Diceros bicornis minor: one gene and its partner. The protein of the gene in region 1 purifies or fractionates together with the protein of each later gene. This does not show direct contact. Links are inferred from orthologs where the notes say so. Each region holds a gene or a part of one and is shown in the gene's direction. Other genes may lie near its edges. The genes, in order: ITGA2 and ITGB1.

Evidence for each region.
Region 2: the proteins of ITGA2 (region 1) and ITGB1 purify together in Homo sapiens (co-immunoprecipitation; 3 studies listed by BioGRID and IntAct, with this or other methods). This does not show direct contact. The link is inferred for Diceros bicornis minor from reciprocal best matches to the Homo sapiens genes ITGA2 and ITGB1.

What each region holds. Positions count from the first base shown.
Region 1 is NC_080759.1:22,503,616-22,513,392, reverse strand, and holds the start of ITGA2 (integrin alpha-2), read left to right. Parts: upstream 1-5,601; 5' UTR 5,602-5,686; coding exon 5,687-5,744; intron 5,745-9,777. UniProt on the Homo sapiens protein: Integrin alpha-2/beta-1 is a receptor for laminin, collagen, collagen C-propeptides, fibronectin and E-cadherin. It recognizes the proline-hydroxylated sequence G-F-P-G-E-R in collagen.
Region 2 is NC_080775.1:31,096,315-31,106,103, reverse strand, and holds the start of ITGB1 (integrin beta-1), read left to right. Parts: upstream 1-5,532; 5' UTR 5,533-5,637; intron 5,638-9,789.

The sequences.
Region 1 (9,777 bases):
CTGGGTCAGGTGTCTACCCATATCACCAGGAGGCAGGGTCATGTGACTTGATGACTTCCAGAAGGGAATTATGGCAAACTCAGCATGACCTGTGGGCAGAGCTGGCAGGCAGATTGCTTTGCATATCTGCCAGACACAAAAACAAATAAAGACAATCAACCCTAGAAGTGCTAACATAGAAGTATCAATAAAATGTGTAGGCATATTAATGAGTCCAGGAAGAATTATTTTACTTTTGTTTATTTGTTTTAAGCTCAAAGCATCTCTTTTATTTTTGGACATTATGCAACTCAGGTGGTGCCTGGAGACCTGTGGGTGAGTCAAACTCAATGGATTCCGAGCTTCACTCCACCTTATCATGGATTTACTGGGTAACATTTGAGGAATCGCTGGTTACTTCATTTCAGATTTTCCAGGACTTACATAGAATTTCACATTCACTGCCCTTTTTAGGTCTAGGGAGAAGAATATGGAACTGTTAGGAAATTCATTTCAATTTAGTAACTATTTTTAGCAACTTATTTGCCAGGTATAGGATTAGACTCTTGTGATATAATCGTGTAAGATTTCAGAGATCCAGCATTGAAGTGAGAAGGTGGATTAGTAATTAAATTTAATTCACACCATAATACATACAAAAGAAAGATTTTTTTTTTTTTTTTTGAACTAGGGGAGCCAGGAGCCAAGAAAGAATAATTGGTTCTGAATAAAGGAAAAGGCTGGGCAGGTAATATAAAATTCGATTGGAGCCTTGAAGTAGAATTTTAAAAAATGGATAAAAGAGAGAAAGCCATCTTAGGCAGAAAAAGAGCTAAGGACTTAGCAAAGAAGAATGGGAGCAGCAGGTCGCTGGAGAGGTGAATTTGCCCTAAGCGTGGGATTCAGGGCAGCAGGTCGGGGGGAGAGACTGGGGGTTGGTAGGAGAGGCTGCAGAGGCATGTTGGGGGTCATCTGGGAGCCTAAACGCTAAGGTACTTGAACTTCATCCTGTAGACATCCAAAGATTTTCAGTAGATCAATCCTGCCATTTAGAAAGAGAACTGGGATGATGGTCTAAAGGGTAGACCAGAGACAGGGAGGAGGAAGCCCAGAGAGATTGTTTAGGAGACTGTCATCATGGTGAAAGATCAAAAGGGCTTTAACTAACGCAAGTAGCAGTAGAACAGAGAATAGGAAGTGGCATAGATAACCATGGTAGAGAGTAAAGACAGAATTGATATGGCCTGGCAAGGAGGCCTGTTAGTAACCCCACACACGAAAAGCAAAACTTTCTGGTTTAGGTGATTGTATATGTGGAATGAGATAAGCAAAGAAGAGCCAGATATGAAGATAAAAAGAGGTCAGAGGGGAACAGTGGGAAAATATACCTCTGAGCCTCCTCCCTTAGTGAGGAGAGGCCTCACTCCATCCCTTAGCAGTTCTTCGACTGTGGTCCCTGGGTGTCTCAAGACCCTTTCAGGTGCTTAATAGGTCAAAATGATTTCCATAATAATACTGAGACGCTATTCGTGTTTTTCACTGTGTTCACATTTACCCTGATGGTGCAAGAGGAAGGGAGAGGAGGCGGGAGGGAGAGAGGGAAGAAAGAAGGGAGGAAGGAAGAAGGAGGAGCTAGTTTCACTTAAGAATACCCTTGATAAATCAGTAAATTTATTACTTTAATAAATCTTGACCCTTGAGTATGTCTTTTGAATATTTTGCATGCGTTAATCTGGGCAGTACACATAAAGCACTTCTGCTGTGCACTGAAGTAGGACGGTTGTCTCAACGATGCCTAAACTGAATGTGCCATTTTTTTCATGAAACATTAGTTTTACCTGAAAGAACAATTGATATATAACTTATGGTTGCTCAGACTTGGGTAGCCGACAGACATTTCTAAAAAATGAACAAAGTGGGCTTTTCATTTCAAGCAAAACAACTGACAGTATTTGTTGCCAACGATAAAATTCCAGCTTTCAAGTGAAAATTAGAATTTTGGAAATGTGTATCTACCAGCATAAGCTTGACATTTTCCCAATATGTAGAGACTTTTCTGATGAGATAGGTGGTGACAGGATTTTTTTTGATATTGTGTACTGAAAGGTGTCAACAATTGGAAGATCTGCATAACTCAGTGAACCAATAATTTCCAAATGCTAATGCATCTTGGGACAAAATCTTGCATGGGTAAAAGATCTGTTCAAAGGGCTCATAGACCAATGAATTTGAATGCACTGGGGTAGGAAAAGTTCATTGATATGGTTTCAGATTCCACATTACAACTAGTCTTGAAGAAACCACCACTTGTCGAGTTTTGGTGCAGTGTCTGAAGAATATCCACAATTATGTCCTGTTTTTCCAACTGCATATCTGTATGATGCCAGATTAATTCATATAATTTAACCAAAACTACATATCACACAGATTGAATGCAGAAGCAGATATGAAAATCCAAGTGTTTATTTTTAAGCCAGATATTAAAAAGATTGGCAAAAATGTACAATAATGCCATTCTTCTCATGAATTCTTTTATTTTGGGGAAATATCGTTATTTTTCACAAAATATATGTTATTTATGTTAACATGTAATAGGCTTATTGTTATTTTAAAATAAATTAGTACATAAATATTGGAAAATGTATCTGTTTTAATTTCTTATATAGTAAACATTAATAGAAATAATCCACATAGAAGTTCTTTGGGATGCTCAATAAATTTTTTTCAAACTTGATTGAGGTATAATTGACAATTTAAAATTGTATACATATGGTATACATCATTATGTTTTGATACACATACACATTGTGAAATGATTATCACAAGCTAATTAACATATCCATCACCTCACATAGTTACCATCTTTGTGTGTGTGTGTGTGTGTGTGTGTGTGTGTGTGTGTGTGGTGAGAACACTTAAGAACTACTCTCTTAGCAATTTTCGAGTATACGATACAGTATTGTTAACTGTAGTCACCAGGCTGTACATTAGAGCCCCAGAACTTATTCATCTTACAACTGGAAGTTTGTACCCTTTGACCAACGTCTCCCCATTTCCCCCACCCCCAGCCCCTGGTAACCACCATTCTACTCTCTGCTTCTATGAGTTTGACTGTTTTACATTCTACATGTAAATGAGATCATACACTATCTGTTTTTCTCTGTCTGGCTTATTTCACTTAGCATAATGTCCTCCAGGTTCATCTGTGTTTTTGCAATTGGTAGGATAACCTTCTTTTTTGCGGCTGAATAATATTCAGCCATATCTACATACCACATTTTCTTTATCCATTCTTCCGAGGGATCTTCAATAATTTTACGAGTGTAAAGGGCTCCTGAGATCAAAGAGTTTGAGAAGCCCTGCCTTGATCTTCCTTATTTCCTGGTCAGAATGTAGCGTCCAGAACAATTACACCTAGGCAGGATAGTCCCTAGGAAGATTAAGGGGAGAGTTCTCAAAATGTTTTGTCTCAGGAACCCTTGACACTCTTAAAATTAACATGGGGCAGGAGTTGGCTTTTCTTGAAATTTGAAATTTTTGCCTGCTCCAGAAAAACATAGCTCCTGATTTATTCCGTACCTCATGCCAGCATACTGTTGATTTGTTCAGTTCTGAGCACAAAAGGGAAGAAAGGTGCATTTTCCTCTCCAGCACCCAGAGACAAAGCACAAATTCCTGTCTCACATGAAGAGAACTATCTTGCCTCCCAAATAAGGGTCTGTTCCAAATAGTTACTCACATTTCAGTGAGTCAGAAGGAAACAGACAGATATTCATCTCCCTGAAACCTGGCTGACTTTCCACGAGAAGTTGGTGAGGAGAGTCAAACTTGGGTGTCAGGGTTACTGAGCCGCCACCTACGAGCTCTCGGGTGATAGCTAGAGTCTTAGTAAGCAGGTGAGTACCGCAGGCAGGTCAGAGGAAAATGCCCACAAGTGTTTGTCAGGATTAGTAAGTGGAGTTAGTAAGTGACAGATAAGAAAACAGGAAACAACCAGGGGCTATACATTTTGGGTACAAAGGTATTGAGGTTAGAGTCATGATTATAAGCAGTAGCATCTGACAAAAACCAATTTAATACTTTAAAAATTGGAAACTCCAGCCTAGCTATGGTAAAGGGGAACATTTGATTTTTACCAATTAATGAATTCTTTCCCATCTTGAACCACTTTGCTTCATGGTGGCAGTATCCCAAGCATCCTATCTTGCTCATCATACCTGCTCCATAAGACTTGGAATAGTGATAGTAATAATGATTAGACTAATAACTCCTTAAGTTTAATTTATTAAAACATTTGGCTGTTTCACAAAAGTAGTCACTGCAAGAATTCTGGTTTCAGCAACGTGTTGGGAATTTGTGGTTGAACTTTTGGAGGAAAAACCAAATTTAGAGAAAAGTGAATGTCCTGTTCCTAGGTAGGTAAGTAAAAATCTCAGATATGGTTATAGACTGTTCTCTTTCCAGATCTGAGACTGAAATAATGGAAGAAAATGGTCACGGTGTACTATAGACAGAGGAAGAGTCACGAATTCATGTATGGGCTCTCACTCGTCTCTCTCTGTGTCTTGAAGTAAATCGCTTAAATTTAGTAATCAAATCAGCTCCTTGGGCCTGCCCGGTGGTTTAGCGGTGCACGCGCTGCGCTACTGGCGGCCTGGGTTCAGATCCCAGGCGCACACCGACGCCCCCCCCCCCCTCCCGGCTTCTCCGGCCACGCTGAGGCCACATACAGCAACTAGAAGGATGTGCAACTACTACATACAACAGTCTACTGGGGCTTTGGGGAAATAAAGGAGGAGGATTGGCCGTAGATGTTAGCTCAGAGCCCGTCTTCCTCAGCAAAAAGAGGAGGATTAGCACGGATGTTAGTTCAGGGCTGATCTTCCTCACACACACAAAAAAATCAGCTCCTTATCTTGGAGGAGAGGAATGAAAGAAGATTTATACCACACACACACACACACACACACACACACACACACACACACACACACACACGATGCTCTCGCAGCAGGTCTTGCTTAAACATCACCTCGGATAATCATCACTTGTGAGCAGATCTTCTTTCCTGTCCAGTTGGTTTCTAACCTGGTCATTCTGTGCTTATTTTTGTCCGTTTCTCCACCTACCTGGGAAAGGCAGAGAAAGCCACGCACCGCGCAGCCCCTAAGAACTGGGGCTTAGGGCTCGCGGCTCCCCCTGGCCCTCCCACCCCTCCCAGGATCCCGGAGCGGCGAATGGCTGCAGAAGTGCCAGGGTTCTCTTGGGGACCCGGGGGTCTCCTGCGGAGGGGCGTCAGGCTGTCGGGGGTCGAGGTAGTGACAGGCGGGCTCTTGCCCGTCGGATGTGCCCGGCCAGTCCGGTCCAGGGCAGGAAAGGCCCGTCCCCATCCCCAAGGCTTCGGGGATCCCGGGGCTGGGACCGTGCAGGGGAGTTAAGGTGTGGTTTCCGGGGGTGTGGAGGAGCCAGGTGCAGCCCGGGGCGGAGGGCCGGGGCTCGGCGGGGCGGGGCCAGGGCAGATCCGGTGTTTGCCGAGGCAGAGGGGCGGGCCGGGGCGGGCCTTGGCGCCCCAGAAGCTGCCGGGCAACTTTTCCCGGCTCTCACCCGGGAGGAGGAGAGAAGCTCTGGAGACTGCTTTGGAGAGTGTCTGGATTCTTGGATCTCTCTGCAAACCCAGAGCAGCTACAGTCCCCAGGGCAGGCGCAGGATGCGGCCAGGACGGACAGGGGCCGCGCCGCTGCGGCTGGTGTTAGTGCTCAGTCAAGGTAAGCGAGGAGTTTGCTCCGCATCGGCTGCAGGAGGGACCTGCGCGGGTCCCGGGGGCGGGCGGGAGGGGTTATGTGGAATGAGGGCGCAGGCAGCGCGCGTCTCCCCTTGGATATCACGTGGACCAGGCTCCCTGCCATCCGGAGCCGGATGGAGAGACTCCCCATTCCCGCTCTCCCCTGCCTGGTGTCCCCATAATGCGTGTCTCACCCTGTCTGTTAAACACCCTCCAAAGTCATCTCAGTGCGCGCTTTGGTTTTAGACACACGCACGCGCACACATGCATAGAGGGAGTGGAGATTAACGGGTGTCCTGGAGATGGAGAGTCCTGCAGCCTGGCTCAGACAGGTGCCGTGCCACATTGGGACCAGTGGGTTCTGTGGGTCCCCGGAATCCAGTCTTGGGCAGCAGCCTGCACCTCCTCAGCGCCGTGCCTGATGACTTTGCAGGAGCCTGGGAGCCCAAAGTGCTTATTTTTCAGCCCAAGGGTATGAATAATGCCTGTATTTCTTCAGGACGCAGCACTGACGTTTCCTCCCATAGGGTACATAGAAAAACCAAGTGCCTCTTAAATACTTGGCAGAGGGGAATTCTTCCTTCCTTCTGCCTTCCTCTTGTTGTAACGTCGTCTGCTCAACGAAAGTAAACTTAGGCCAGGAAAAGTTCTTTCCACTTGCTTGATCTTAGCCGCCAGAATTCACCGGAGCAGCAGCTGCAGCTGCAGGGCGGTGAGAGTGGGGCCCACCCATCGCCCGACTCCTTTTGCACTGAGAGGGGAAGTGAGGCTGGGGTGCTGAGCTGCTGTGCGACCATCGTCCACCAAGAGAACTGTCCCCAGACCTTATCCAGAGCCTAGAATGTGCTTACTTGAAGAACTTCAGTTTACTTGGTGGGAAAGAAGCCACATTTGTATTTTGTAGTTTGAACAGCTATCAAAACAAAAAAAATGGTCTCTGATTTTCAAGTGTTTTCACAAAGAAGATAAATATTTCCTAAACTGTCCTCCTTTCGAGGCATTTAGCCAGTCGCTATTTTTTATTGTGGAAGAAACCTAGTCCAGATGGACCCTGTAGCATTTTCTCCAGGTCAGAGATAACAGAGAAATAGCACCACCATCCCCACGCCCAGCAGAGAATAGGCATCAATAGGTTTTCTCTCTAACCCTGTGTCTGGTGCTTCACAGATATTCTTTCTGGGGACTCCAAGAGTGTTTTGAGAGGCCATCAACCCTAATTTAGGGGTTTCAGATAAAGTTGGATTCACATTGAAAATTAGTCCCTGGAACATGGCAACCTTCCCAAGAGCTAATAGACGTTTAATTCCAAGCTTTGCATTTCTCTTTAATTATCCATTAACAGAAGCTATGGAAACATAACATCATTTTCTTATCTTTGAGCTGTTGAGGCTTGTTTTTTAAAGGGGAATGAGAAATACTTTGATGGAATGTGTTGCTGCAAGGCATGAGGTCAGGTACAGAGATTTTCACCTGGAGTTATTTGCTAAGGACAACTCAATGCAAGCAAGCAGAGGTGATCTGAAATGACATCTGTGAAAATATGTTGCATGTTTATTCCTTCCTTCTGCTCCAGTTGTTTGCATACTCAAGGAACAGGTTTTCTTTTAATTCAGGATGATCATAATAAAGCTTTGTCATCTGTGATATCAGTCGAGGTTCCTATGGAAGCAGCATCATTTTTTTGAACCATGAATATCCAAAATTAACATGAACAAATGAAATCTTTAGGTCCGTGATAGCTGAAATTTTTTATGGCATTACCCTATCTGTATAAAATTTTGGAGTATTTGTCATTACTATACACACACAGATATAGTTGTTTACAAATTATATACATGTACAATTGTTTTATATAAATACATACCAAAAATTAAAATGTAAAAGGCATATATGTGTGTGTCTTTATATATCTTCATCCTCTCCAGCATACACACCAACCACTGTGGAAACTTAAAACCCTCAAATCTCATTTAACACTTAGATGCACATTCGCTTTTCATAAACCTTCTCACGGGTATTTAAGAAACAGCGATATTCATAGTTTGGTTCCATATTATCACCTTTCATTGGTCATTCCTGGGTTTAAGTGCTTGCAGTCATGAGACCTAGATAATCCCTAAACTAAATAATAGGTCTGTGGAGAAAAGTGAAATGTAATTTTAAAATGATGATGTCACACATTCTCAGGTGTGTTGCCAGGCCAAGGACAATCCTCCCCCTGGGTTCTAGGCCTCATCTTCTCTCACTGCCTCTGGTACCCTGCACCAGTCATCCCCTCTTTAAGGAATATCTTCACATCCTCTCTCTAATTTTCCCTCAGGCTGTAAATAATTCTAGTTTCTCTCATAGTAAGCAACTCCTCCTTTTAATATGTAATTTGGCAGCTCCTTCCTCCTGAAACACTCTCCACCTCTGGCTTCTGCTCTTTTCTCCTATTTTCCCGGCTGTTCTTTCTTAGTCTCCTTCACAGGCTCATCTGTTTGGCCCGGTCCTTGGTGTTCACAGAGTTCCATCCTGGATCCTCCTCTTCATTCTACCAATTCTCTCTGGGCCAGTTCCCTGCTCAAGTCATTATCTCCAGCCAGACTCCCCTCCTGAGTTCCAGATCACTATTTCCATCTGCTACCAAGTATCTCCACCTAGATGTCATAAAAGCACGTCAAACTCCACATGTCCTCAACTGAGGTCAACACCTGTCCTTTGAAATTTTCTCTTATATCTTCTACTATTGTTTAATGGCAGCAATATCGTGTATTCCTAAAACTAGGAATCCTTTCCCTCGTTTTCACCCTCACGGCCAATCTCTCAGGTTCTGTTCTCTCTCCTCTCCAACTCATGCAACTTCTGCAACCACCCCGTTCAGGCCCTTGCTTTTTTTGTGTCTGGACAACTACAGTTTTAAAATTGGTTGTCCTGTTTTTGTCTCTTATCCGTCCAGTCCATTCTCCTCATTGTCACCAATGTTACTTTCTGAATGCTTACCTGTATTCAATCACTGCCTTGATTAAACGTTTGGTCCTTCGCCATCTGGCCGCAGCCTGCCTATTCAGTCTTTCCTCTACCACATCCACTCCTGCACACACTTAATGCACAAGCTCACACACTACACATATGCACACACAATACACACACCCCAAAGCCATGTATATCCACCCTTCTGTGTTCTGACTGCACCTGATTATCTTATATTTAGTGTTATAATATTTTCCAGACTATTCTCTTTGCTTTCACTGCCTTGATGCTTTTTATCTTTCTCTCTCATCCCTTTGCAAACGACCGTTGTCCAATGTTAGAAGAGACAATCTCAAGCAGAATTATAAAGTAGGGAAGTTTTTCTTTTGTAACAAAAAAAGGAAGCTTGAGATAATCTCTCATTTCTGGGACTAACTCTAAACTACCTCTCTCCTCTCATCCTCAGCCCCTCAACAGACTTAGGCCCCCCTCTGAGAACGTAACTCCTCCCACCCCGGGGCTCTCCAGCTGTACCTGCTATACCTGCCCAACCTCCGCTGAGCTTTGCTCTCTTAAATACTGGCTTATGAGCCACTGTTTGATTTAAAGTCATGGATTGGGGCTCAGGATTCAGTATTTAAAAACAATTACTCATATGTTTCTGATGTACAGCCAAGTTTAGAAGTAATTGCTTAAATATTAGCACTGCACCTCCTCTTTCCTAACGAATTAAATTTCCAGTGTTGCCTGTACTACCTGGTTGTGAGATGACCACCAAGACAGGTAGATTTCAACACAGGAGTCAGTGAATGCCTCAGTTTGAGTGAATTCCCTCTAAAGTGGGTGCTGACTGCTCCTGTCTCAGTGCTAACAGCCTTGGGCATATTAAAAGGGAGAAGCCTATTAATGTAAAAAGATGAGCTTGTAATGATGGAATGTTAGACATTCAGCAAAATAAAGACACATTTAGTTAGTGTGTCAAAAATAAAGAATTTCAGGGAAAATATTTGGGACCAAAAGTATCATCCTGACATCATGTAAATATTACTGTTAAAGTCACAAGC
Region 2 (9,789 bases), on another chromosome or scaffold:
GAAGATCGGCCCTGAGCTAACATCTGCCAATCCTCCTCTTTTTGCTGAGGAAGACTGGCCCAGGGCTAAGATCCATGCCCATCTTCCTCCACTTCATATGAGACGCTGCCACAGCACGGCTTGACAAGCAGTGCGTCAGTGCGCGCCTGGGATCCAAACCGGCGAACCCCGGGCCACTGCAGCGGAGCGTGCACACTTAACCGCTTGTGCCACTGGGCCGGCCCCTTTAAATATAATTTGAAGGCATTTAAGTCCTAGTATGTAAGTTGGAAATCTGAAACAAAAAGTTCTAGTTTCTCTTTGATGTTTATTTTACCTTGAAAAGTAAATACAAACAGCACACTCTTTAGTTGTGTGGTTTGATCACAAATGATTGTGCTTTTTCTGTTCTACCTCCTACAGGTTAAATAAGACTGCAGTGAAAATCTTGCTATAACAAAATATTGGACATTTATCTTATGTTTAAAAGATTGTTTTAGGGGCTGGCCCAGTGGTGCAGCAGTTAAGTGCGCGTGCTCTACTTCAGCTGCTCAGAGTTCGCAGGTTCGGATCCCAAGTGTGCACTGAGGCACCGCTTGTCAAGCCATGCTGTGGCAGCATCCCATATAAAGTAGAGGAAGATGGGCACAGATGTTAGCCCAGGGCCAATCTTCCTCAGCAAAAAGAGGAGGATTGGCATCGGATATTGGCTCAGGGCTAGTATTCCTCACACACACACACACACACACAAAAATTGCTTTAGATAAGACTAACAAACATATAACTGAAAATTCCAGGGCAACTACAAAAAAATTTGTTTAGGCTCTTGGTCTATAAAAGGAACTGATTATATCTGAGCTTAAAATAGTGATTCTTAATGTTTTGGGGTTAAGATACCATTTAAACCAGAAATATCTGCAGAAATGCAGATCTATATGTATAAATGAAATTTTGTCTACAAATTTTAGGGGGTTCATAGACACACGGTTTCCCATATATTGGTACACAGCAAGAACTCAATCTTAGATAACATTATGGGGATTAATTTGGGGAAATAGGGTGCTTTTACTTACCAAACAAACGTATCTTTTAACTGACCTAGACTTCCGACTCCCTAATGAATCAGGCCTCAAATCAGGCTGCTCTTAATTCAAATTGCCAAATATTCTTAAAAGGAGTTAAATGAGGAAACAAAGAATGTTGTTTTATAGTCACTAGCCATAACTTGTTGGTAGCACCATCATTTCCTCTATTGAGTGACCCTGGTTCCTAAAAATAACTCCAGTGCTATTCAACTGCTTATATTTGGCATATTCTTCATTCTTATTTGGGAAGGCACATTCCCTTCTCCAGCTGAAGAAACCCAGTGTCTGAAAAGAGCTGCCTAAAAACACTGTTTCCTCTGGGCTCTTAAAAATGTTCAGCATCTGAATGCTGGCAGGGAATGCTCCCACCCAGTGGAGGCAATACTCCACGGACTGAGCAGGACCAAAAGCGGGGATGCTATATCAGGAAGCAGAACCGGTTGAGGCAGCTTTGCTCAGACGTGACCCATATTCAAAGCCATAATCTAGCAACTGTTAACTATCTAGAAAAGGAAAAGACTTAATGGCTAGCCTAAACTATAAGGGACACATTGCAAATCAGGCCAGACTGTTCTGACATTTGCCACCTTACTTTTAAATAAGCAAAGGAATAAAGCACTAACTAAAGCCTCAGGACAGGCTAGTCAAATACAGACACCTGCCATATGTACAAGGTGGGTGGCTGCCTTGCAGCAAACTGAATTTTTCATGGGTCCTCTGGAAATTATGGCAGGGCATTGAGGAGTGCTCTCTAAATTGAAGCCATCAAGCCAAAACAAAAAGTTGCAAAATAAATAAACTTCCAGTTTTTCTACACTATATGATTATTTGCATATTATTTATATATTTGGAGACAGAAAAAGGAGGAACTAGAAGGACTGTCTTACCATTTCTTGTTTTTCAAAATGCCAGTAATTCCCAGGGCTGCTTTTTTTACCAAAGCACACAGATTCACATTTTAATAGAGGGAGTTTAGTTTCTCAGAAAAAGGAATGGAGTTATTTATGATTCAGAAGCACCTCCACGTTAGTATTAGAGGGCATTATCAGAGACTTCTATTCCTTCTATCCCCATCCGCTGTCTTTTTCTTTTTTTAATGTTTAAAGGAGTTAAATTCTAAGCATCCGGAGGTGGCAGATGAGAAAAATATATCTAGGTCACTCTGTAGAAACAGTTCTTAGAAAAGAGGCTGAAGACTCACTAGCCACTGTCAATCAGTCTGCTCCAGAAGCCATCACAGATATTTAAATGGTATTTAAAACCCAAGTCTTGTTGATTAGCCAGGCTACTTCCAAGGATTTTCCTTAATTAAATCTCCTAGTAGGGCATTTTCATCACATAGGAACTGCCTAATTCAGCACACTCCTGCCCCACACAATTTTTTTCCTTATCATCAATGTTAGAATTAGTCTTCACCTATCAACCTGGAGCCTGATTTGCAGTGTCCCTGTGTATCCCCTTTGAATTTCTAAAACTACTCTTCTCATTATTCATTGTCTGGACACTCTTATTTATAGGGTGACTGACCATATAATCTATTAACCATATCAGGATGTACTTTTGAGACTGAAAAGGGGTGCTATTGATAATTATGCTTGGACAACAGACAAACTGGGGCTATCTTGGGCATACCGGGACACAAAGTCACCCTGCTTACTTAAAAATGATCTGGTATGGATTGTGCCACAATGTGTCAGTCAATGGCCAATACCAAAAAATATTTGGTCTTGGGTATACTATTCTCACAATGCAGGTATTCATCCTTTGTTCAAACCCCATGAGGTCTTGCCCTCTGATGACTGTTGCATGTGGTAAATGATTTATAAAGGAATGTGTACTGAGCTACCTGCCCACAAAAGTTTACACTGGTTAGGGTTGTTTCCACTCTGAAAGACTGAAAAGCATTCAAGTTAGCATAGGATGATTTGTGATTTACTGGATGGAGTCATATTTGAAAGGCTAAGTCCCAAGAGTGCTCAAACTACAAGAAAAAGACAGCTCTCCACTCACTCTCCCTCCCAATCCCATATTCCATAATCAGGTGATTAAATACAACCTACTAGATCTGAAGGGCAGTAATCAAACTGTGATGTTTGAAAGAGATAATCAGGTTTCTAGAGAAGCCTTTAGGCTCTTTTGTACCTGACTTAATATTAATGGTTCCTTTCATTTATGTAAGCCTATCCTTTAATTAAAAATAGAAATATTTGTAATTATTATCTGTAATTTGTAATTATTAATGATTAAAATGAACTTGGGCATCCAATCAAGTCTTTGCTGGTGAACAACTTTGAAACTTTACTTCGGAAAACAGTAGGTGAATAAAGACATTTTGAAGAGTATATGGTAGTATGGCGCCAAAACTAAAGGAAAGGCCAACTTTTAATTATTTGACATAATGAGTTATGACGAGATGTCAGAAGACAATTTATAATAATTGGGAGACAGTGTAGGTAAAGTATGATTTGTCTTAAATTCAAAATACTATTAGATGTTCTATCATGATGTGGTTAAGCAATGTGACTCCCACTATTCTTACTTACCAGGATTTCCTGTTGCGCATGGTGACTGACCAACCCTTGTTTGGAGTGTTCAAAAATTTTATAGTTAGCTAACTGTCCATCGGTTAATATTTATATGAAATTACAAGTAGAGTCATACTCCTGACCAATCACTGCTTATCTTAAAGAACATGTTTCTTTAATTTCTCTTTTCCTCAAAGCTCATGACTCTCATACATAAATTGTTACTCACACTTCAGTTTAGCCAAATGCTCTGGCCTGGTCCCAGGGTAGCAAAAGGACCCATTTATTCATTTATCAAACATTAGCTGAGCCCCCATTATGTGTCCTGGAACAGTGTTTGACCCTGGGATTAAAAAGATAATTAAACTGCCCTTGAACTAATTTAGTTTAGGGTTGTGCAAACGTAAAACTCATAATGTTCTTGTGGCAAAGATCGCCTCCTCAAATCATATACAGGGAAGAAAATTCTGGGAAATGTAGTGCAAATCAAGCATCAATCAATTCCACTTTATCTTTAGAACTATAATTTCCTATGCTGAGCCTCAGCCAATTCTGATTCATTTGGAATAGTGGTATAACCAACACCTTTAAATTCAAGAATGTTGAGGTCTAGTGGCAGCTTTACAATTGGGTTACTAATATAGAAACATCATTCAGCCTCTTAACCTTGGTCAACCATTAAGTGGGAAAGATCATGCTAACTTCTTTAGAGGTTTTCAGAGATTATCTAGTCAACAGATTTGCTTTTGCTGGTGAGCAATGTGCAAATTTTCCATAGATGGTATTATTTTATTTTCTCTTATTTAAGATTGGCAATCAAATGGGCATCCCAGCTTCTAATCTCCCCCAAGTGAAACACTACTTCTCAGTTTCACAAATCTCATAATTTGAGCTCTATTCCCCACGGGGTGCTGCAGCTCACCAGCTGGCAACTCACATTTTCTAACAGAATGGCAGCTTGTCAACAGCATATTCTGAATTACTGGGTTTCAGTATGATGTTGGCACAGGTTTCAATTCTCTTATCAAAATGTGCCCAGCCATTCTCGTAATGAATGTTTCCCTTCTCTTTTAAATGTTCCTTCTCCAGCCCCCATCTCCACCTACTAAAAAAAGTGAAAATCAAAAGAAACTGTATTCTTAAGGATGAAACTTTTCCTTCACATGCCTGTTCCCCATAAATGGACCTCCAGATTAATGTAACAAAAGCAACTCCCCAACTCACCAGTTATTCTCTAAAATATTCTTCGTCTCCATCTTTGTTGGCACCCATCTCCTTCCTAAGTCTTCACCTTCCTCATACACATAAGCCAAGCAAACTATCACTCCAGAAAAACAGTATTGGCTTTGGCTAATTCCCTTTCAAAAGGAAAACATTTTCGGGCCCCACGAAGCCCTGCCTCGATTTGCCTGGGACTGAAGGGGCTCCCGGGACAGTCCCCCCGGCAAACGGGACGGTGGGTCGGACAGACAGACCTGCGGCTTCGGGGAAGCAGAACCTAAGAGAGGCGGAAAAGGAGAGTCCCGCCCCGGGTTGCCCACGGCCCGTCCGGCCTTCTCTTATGGGAGGATACGATTAACGCTCGCCGAGGCCTTACACCTCCCGCTCCCGCTTAGCAGAAAAGAAAACTGAGGCACGGCGAAGGCCTCCGCCGGTCCCGTGCCCCGCCCTCCCAGCGCGGCTCCCCGGGCCAGCTCCTTTGTCCCGGCCTCGGTCTTCCCGCCGCCTCCGCCGCCCGCGCCTCCTCCTCGCCTGGGGCGCGGCTGACGCGGCCGGAGAGGAATGCGCTTCCGGAGGGAGAGGGCGGCGGCGGCGGCCCGAGGAGCAGGCTCGGCCGCGCCGAGGAGGCGGTGCCGCGGGGGTCGTTTCCTGCGGGAGGCGGCTCCGGGGGCCGAGTCTCCTCCTCCCGCCCCCGAGGAGGCGGGGTCGCCGCCGCCCGCCGCGCCCGAGACCGGGAGGCCGCGCCAGCCCTCGGGAGAGGCCGAGCGGGAGCCGCGGAGCAGCAGGCCCAAGCCGACCGGCCGGGGCCCGGACGCCGCCCGGAGAAGGTAGGGGCCCGGCACGGGGCGGGCGGCGGCCTCCGGGCCCGGGTGCGCGGCCGGACCTCGGGCCGCCCGCCGCGGCCAGGCCGGGACCTCTCTGTCCGGCCGGGGTGGGGGAGGCGGATTCCAGCCTTCGGGCAGGAAGGGAAGTCCGGCCGGCGCCCGCCCTCCAGGCTTCTCTCGCGGACCTTGGCCCCCTCCCCGCCGCCTCCGTCCCTCCCGCGCGCCGGCGGCCCGAGCGCGCAGAGCCGGCCCCCGCGGTCCGAGTGGGAGGGTCGCCGGCCTGGGCGCTGTCACGTCGGGGGCGCGGGGTGCGAGGACCGGGGCCCCGACCGGCCGCTCAGACGCCTGCCATTCACAGCGCCCCGTGCCGGACGCGCGGCCTGGGCGCCGGAGAGGGAGCTCGCCCCGCGCGCCCGGGTCCCCTCCGCCGCCGCGGCGCGCAGTGCGGGCGCGGACGGGGCCTCCCGGGACGCGCCGTCCCAGGACTTGGAACGATCCTTGACAGTTGCTCTTTGTCTCCGTCTCGGGCGCGGGCTGCTCTTTCTTTGAGCAACGTTGAGCTTAGTCATTAGCTTCCACATAAGGAAAATTGTTCGTCCTTCCCACTTCCAGAAGTTGGGTGCTGGCTCTCAGCGCCTGTGGCGTGGGATGAAGGGGGGGTGGACCTGAACAAGAGGGGGCGTCGGAGAGCAGCTAGGAGAAGAGGGCGCAGCGTTGGCATATGGTGGGGTTTTTTTTTTTCCGCTTAATATTTAAAAGAGCCGCACTGGAGTGCCGGATACCTCGGCAGGCGGGGCGGCCGGCGCCCGCAGGGGCCGGAGGGAGCCGCGTCCTGGGCCGGGCGCCCTGAGCGCGCAGGGCCCGGCCGGCCCTCCCGGCGTCCCCGCAGGGTTTAGTGCCCGACCGGTTCTGATGCCGGCTTACTATGTGTCATTTCTTATGCTTCCTAAAAACAAGTTCTATTTTTAAGAATACCAGTGTTTAATGCCTAAGTAATTTTTATTTGATCAAATTTGTGCTTTTGAGTCAAAACCTAGTACTGGTTGGTATGATCACTAGTCATTTACATTCTTTAAGCTTCCATTTCCTTATCTTTGAAATGGGAACAAGAATACCTACACTAATAACAGTAGTAATTAATTATTATAAGAACGACAGTGAGGGCCATGTGTAGCTCTAGGCACTTTTACATGTATTTTGTCGTTTAATTCTGGAACTGATCCGTGAGGTAGGTGCCGTTTTTATCCCCATTTTATAAATGAAGAAACTGAGGCGAAGGGAGCATAAGTCATTTGCCTGTGGTCATCCAGCTAGTAGGTGGAGAAACCTTGTCTAGACCATGTTTGAACCACAAGTAATCTTCCGTAAGTACAGTATAGTTGTGAAAAATCACACGTAAAATGTAAAACACTTAGGTTAGAGTAGAAGCTCAATAAATATTGATCTCTTTTCCTTCCTTCTTAGTATATTAAATGATTAAAAAAAATCTCAGCATGTAATTGATAACATCATTAGTAAGGTTTTTTGGGGTCTGCATCCCACGTAGATACTTAGGTGGTAGAATTACTGGGTTGTTATTTTTTATTGTTGTTTTGATGGTATGAAAATAAATGTGAAGTGAATTTTGATTTGGCGTCTTTCTTAAACTAAATACAGCTTTTGCAATAGATTGTATAATAGACTACTTTTAGAAATGATTAAGGAATTTTAGTTGGAAGTTATTTATTTTACGTTTGTGGACATCAAGGCCCAGAGGGGACAGGACTTACTTAAGAGTCCCAATAACGGTGATATTTTTAAATAATTTTGGTTCTGTGATCAGTATTATGTAACTGAAGACGAGGCAGTGATAATTAGAAAACAGATGAAACAAATCAGTATTTTGGTTACAGGCGTTTGAGGCAAATCCATTTTACTTATGCTAAAATTCAGTATAAAATGGATGTTATTAGAATGCCAGTTAAAAAGACAGGGGATGCATGAGCATAATGTCCAAAGCTGTTATCTGCGATGGTGAGCTCTAGTTGAATTAGAAGACAACAACATTTCAAGAAACGACTTTTTAAAAAGAAGCCCAACTCCATTGCTCCCACTTTCCTGCTCTTGAAAAGTAAGGGGAAGCACATTATGCTGAGTGAAATAAGCCCGTCACAAAAGGACAAATACTGTCTGATTCCGCCTCTATGAGGTACCTAGAGAAGCCAGATTCAGAGAGACGGAGTAGAAGGGTGGTTGCCAGGGGCTGGCGAAAAGGAGTGTGGGAGTTGTTGTTTAATGAGTACAGACTCAGTTTTGCAAGATGAAGAGTCTGTAGATGGTTGGTGGTAATGGTTGCACAACAGTGTGAATGTATTTAATATGGTGAATTGTACACTTAAAAACAGTTAAGATGGTGAGTTTTATGTTATGTATATTTTGCTACACTTAAAAAGTTATTAAAAAAAAAGAAAGACGGGATGTGGTTAATACTTCTGTAAATAAAGAGCAGATAAACTCCACATTAAGTCATCTGCGTGGACTTCACAGACCTAAACTTTTGTTTTTGTGATGTTGATTCTTTTAAAAAGAATGTCAAGTTTGGGGGCCAGCCCCATGGCTTAGCAGTTAAGTGCACGAGCTCCACTACTGGCGGCCCAGGTTCAGATCCCGGGCGCGCACTGACGCACCGCTTCTCTGGCCATGCTGAGGCCACGTCCCACATACAGAAACTAGAAGGGTGTGCAACTATGACGTACAACTATCTCCTGGGGCTTTGGGGGAAAAAAAAAACGGAGGAGGATTGGCAATAGGTGTTAGCTCAGAGCCGGTCTTCCTCAGCAAAAAGAGGAGGATTAGCATGGACGTTAGCTCAGGGCTGATCTTCCTCACACACACACAAAAATAAATAAATAAAAAGAATGTCAAGTTCTATATTAAGATTATTTTTCTAATCCCCTCGACATTCTGCACATGAAAAGTATAGAATCAATGATATTGAAAATCACTGGATTTAGTAATTTTAACAATCCGGTGGTTTTCTTCTTAACTTTCTGATCAGTATAATTAAAATCTGCCCCAAATTACCATCACTGAATGAATATGCAGTTCTCTGTTGGTGTTGATAAATTCTTAACTCCGAGAGAGACTCTGGGGACCTCTGGTCACTTTATAACTTTATGAAATAGTGAAAATTAGTCAAACAGTTTAACATAGTGTTAGTTTTCATGGAACTCTGGCCACTTAATATCTTTATTTGTTTGGCTTCTTGTGAAATAAACTGTGGCTCACAGCATGGGGGGAGTAGTGTAATATTCTATCCGAAGAAAATATTTTTCTTTAATATTCTGTAAGTGCACTGTTTTGCTCTTAACTACACTCTAGGGTGATGAGATGAAACATCTAACTGGTAAAAGTTTCAGAACTTTTGAGTTCTAAGAATTTAAATTTCTAAACTTGTAACAAGCTAAATTTCCGAAAGGATTCGTATGGACTGTTGTTAAATTTTACATTTCCCCACTCTACATGGAGAGTTAGATCTGTCAGGTTGTGGGTAGAATCCTAGAGGATTATATTGTGCCAATATGTAAATATCTCTTGTCGTATTAGCAGGTCTGTTCTGACTTCGGTTATATATTATAGGATTGTTGTCCTTTTATGTTGTTGCAGAGGTGGGAGTCTTGTGGTAGGGAGGAAGGGTTGACAGGAATAAGGGTAGGAAAGAGCACATTAGTCATCAGGGTCCTGAAGTGGTAGCCGTGTCTGTAGCTGTAGAAAACTGAAAAAATATTACAGTACATACTTAGGTTAAAGGAGCTGCAGTCCATAGAACCCAGAACAGTAGCAGCCTTAGAATATTTCAGTAGGCAGTTGAAAAAAATCTGTCTCTTTTTTAGGAGGTGTGTGCAACAGGAGCCAAACTATACTTTGTAAATTTCTCATCTTTTTAAAGATGGCTAATTATAAGACTTTTACAGAATTAAGTGTTTTTTGTAAAATAATGTAATGTGGGTTTTTAGAAGTCAACTACCTTTAAACGTTATTTTTGGTTTGTAGCTTTAGATGATCAGATTAACTCTGTTTAGCAATATGCTAAAGCATGTGTATGTCATCTCATCATGAGCTGTGTGTGTGTGAGTAAAAAGAAACTGCTTCAGATATCCATACCACATATGTGTA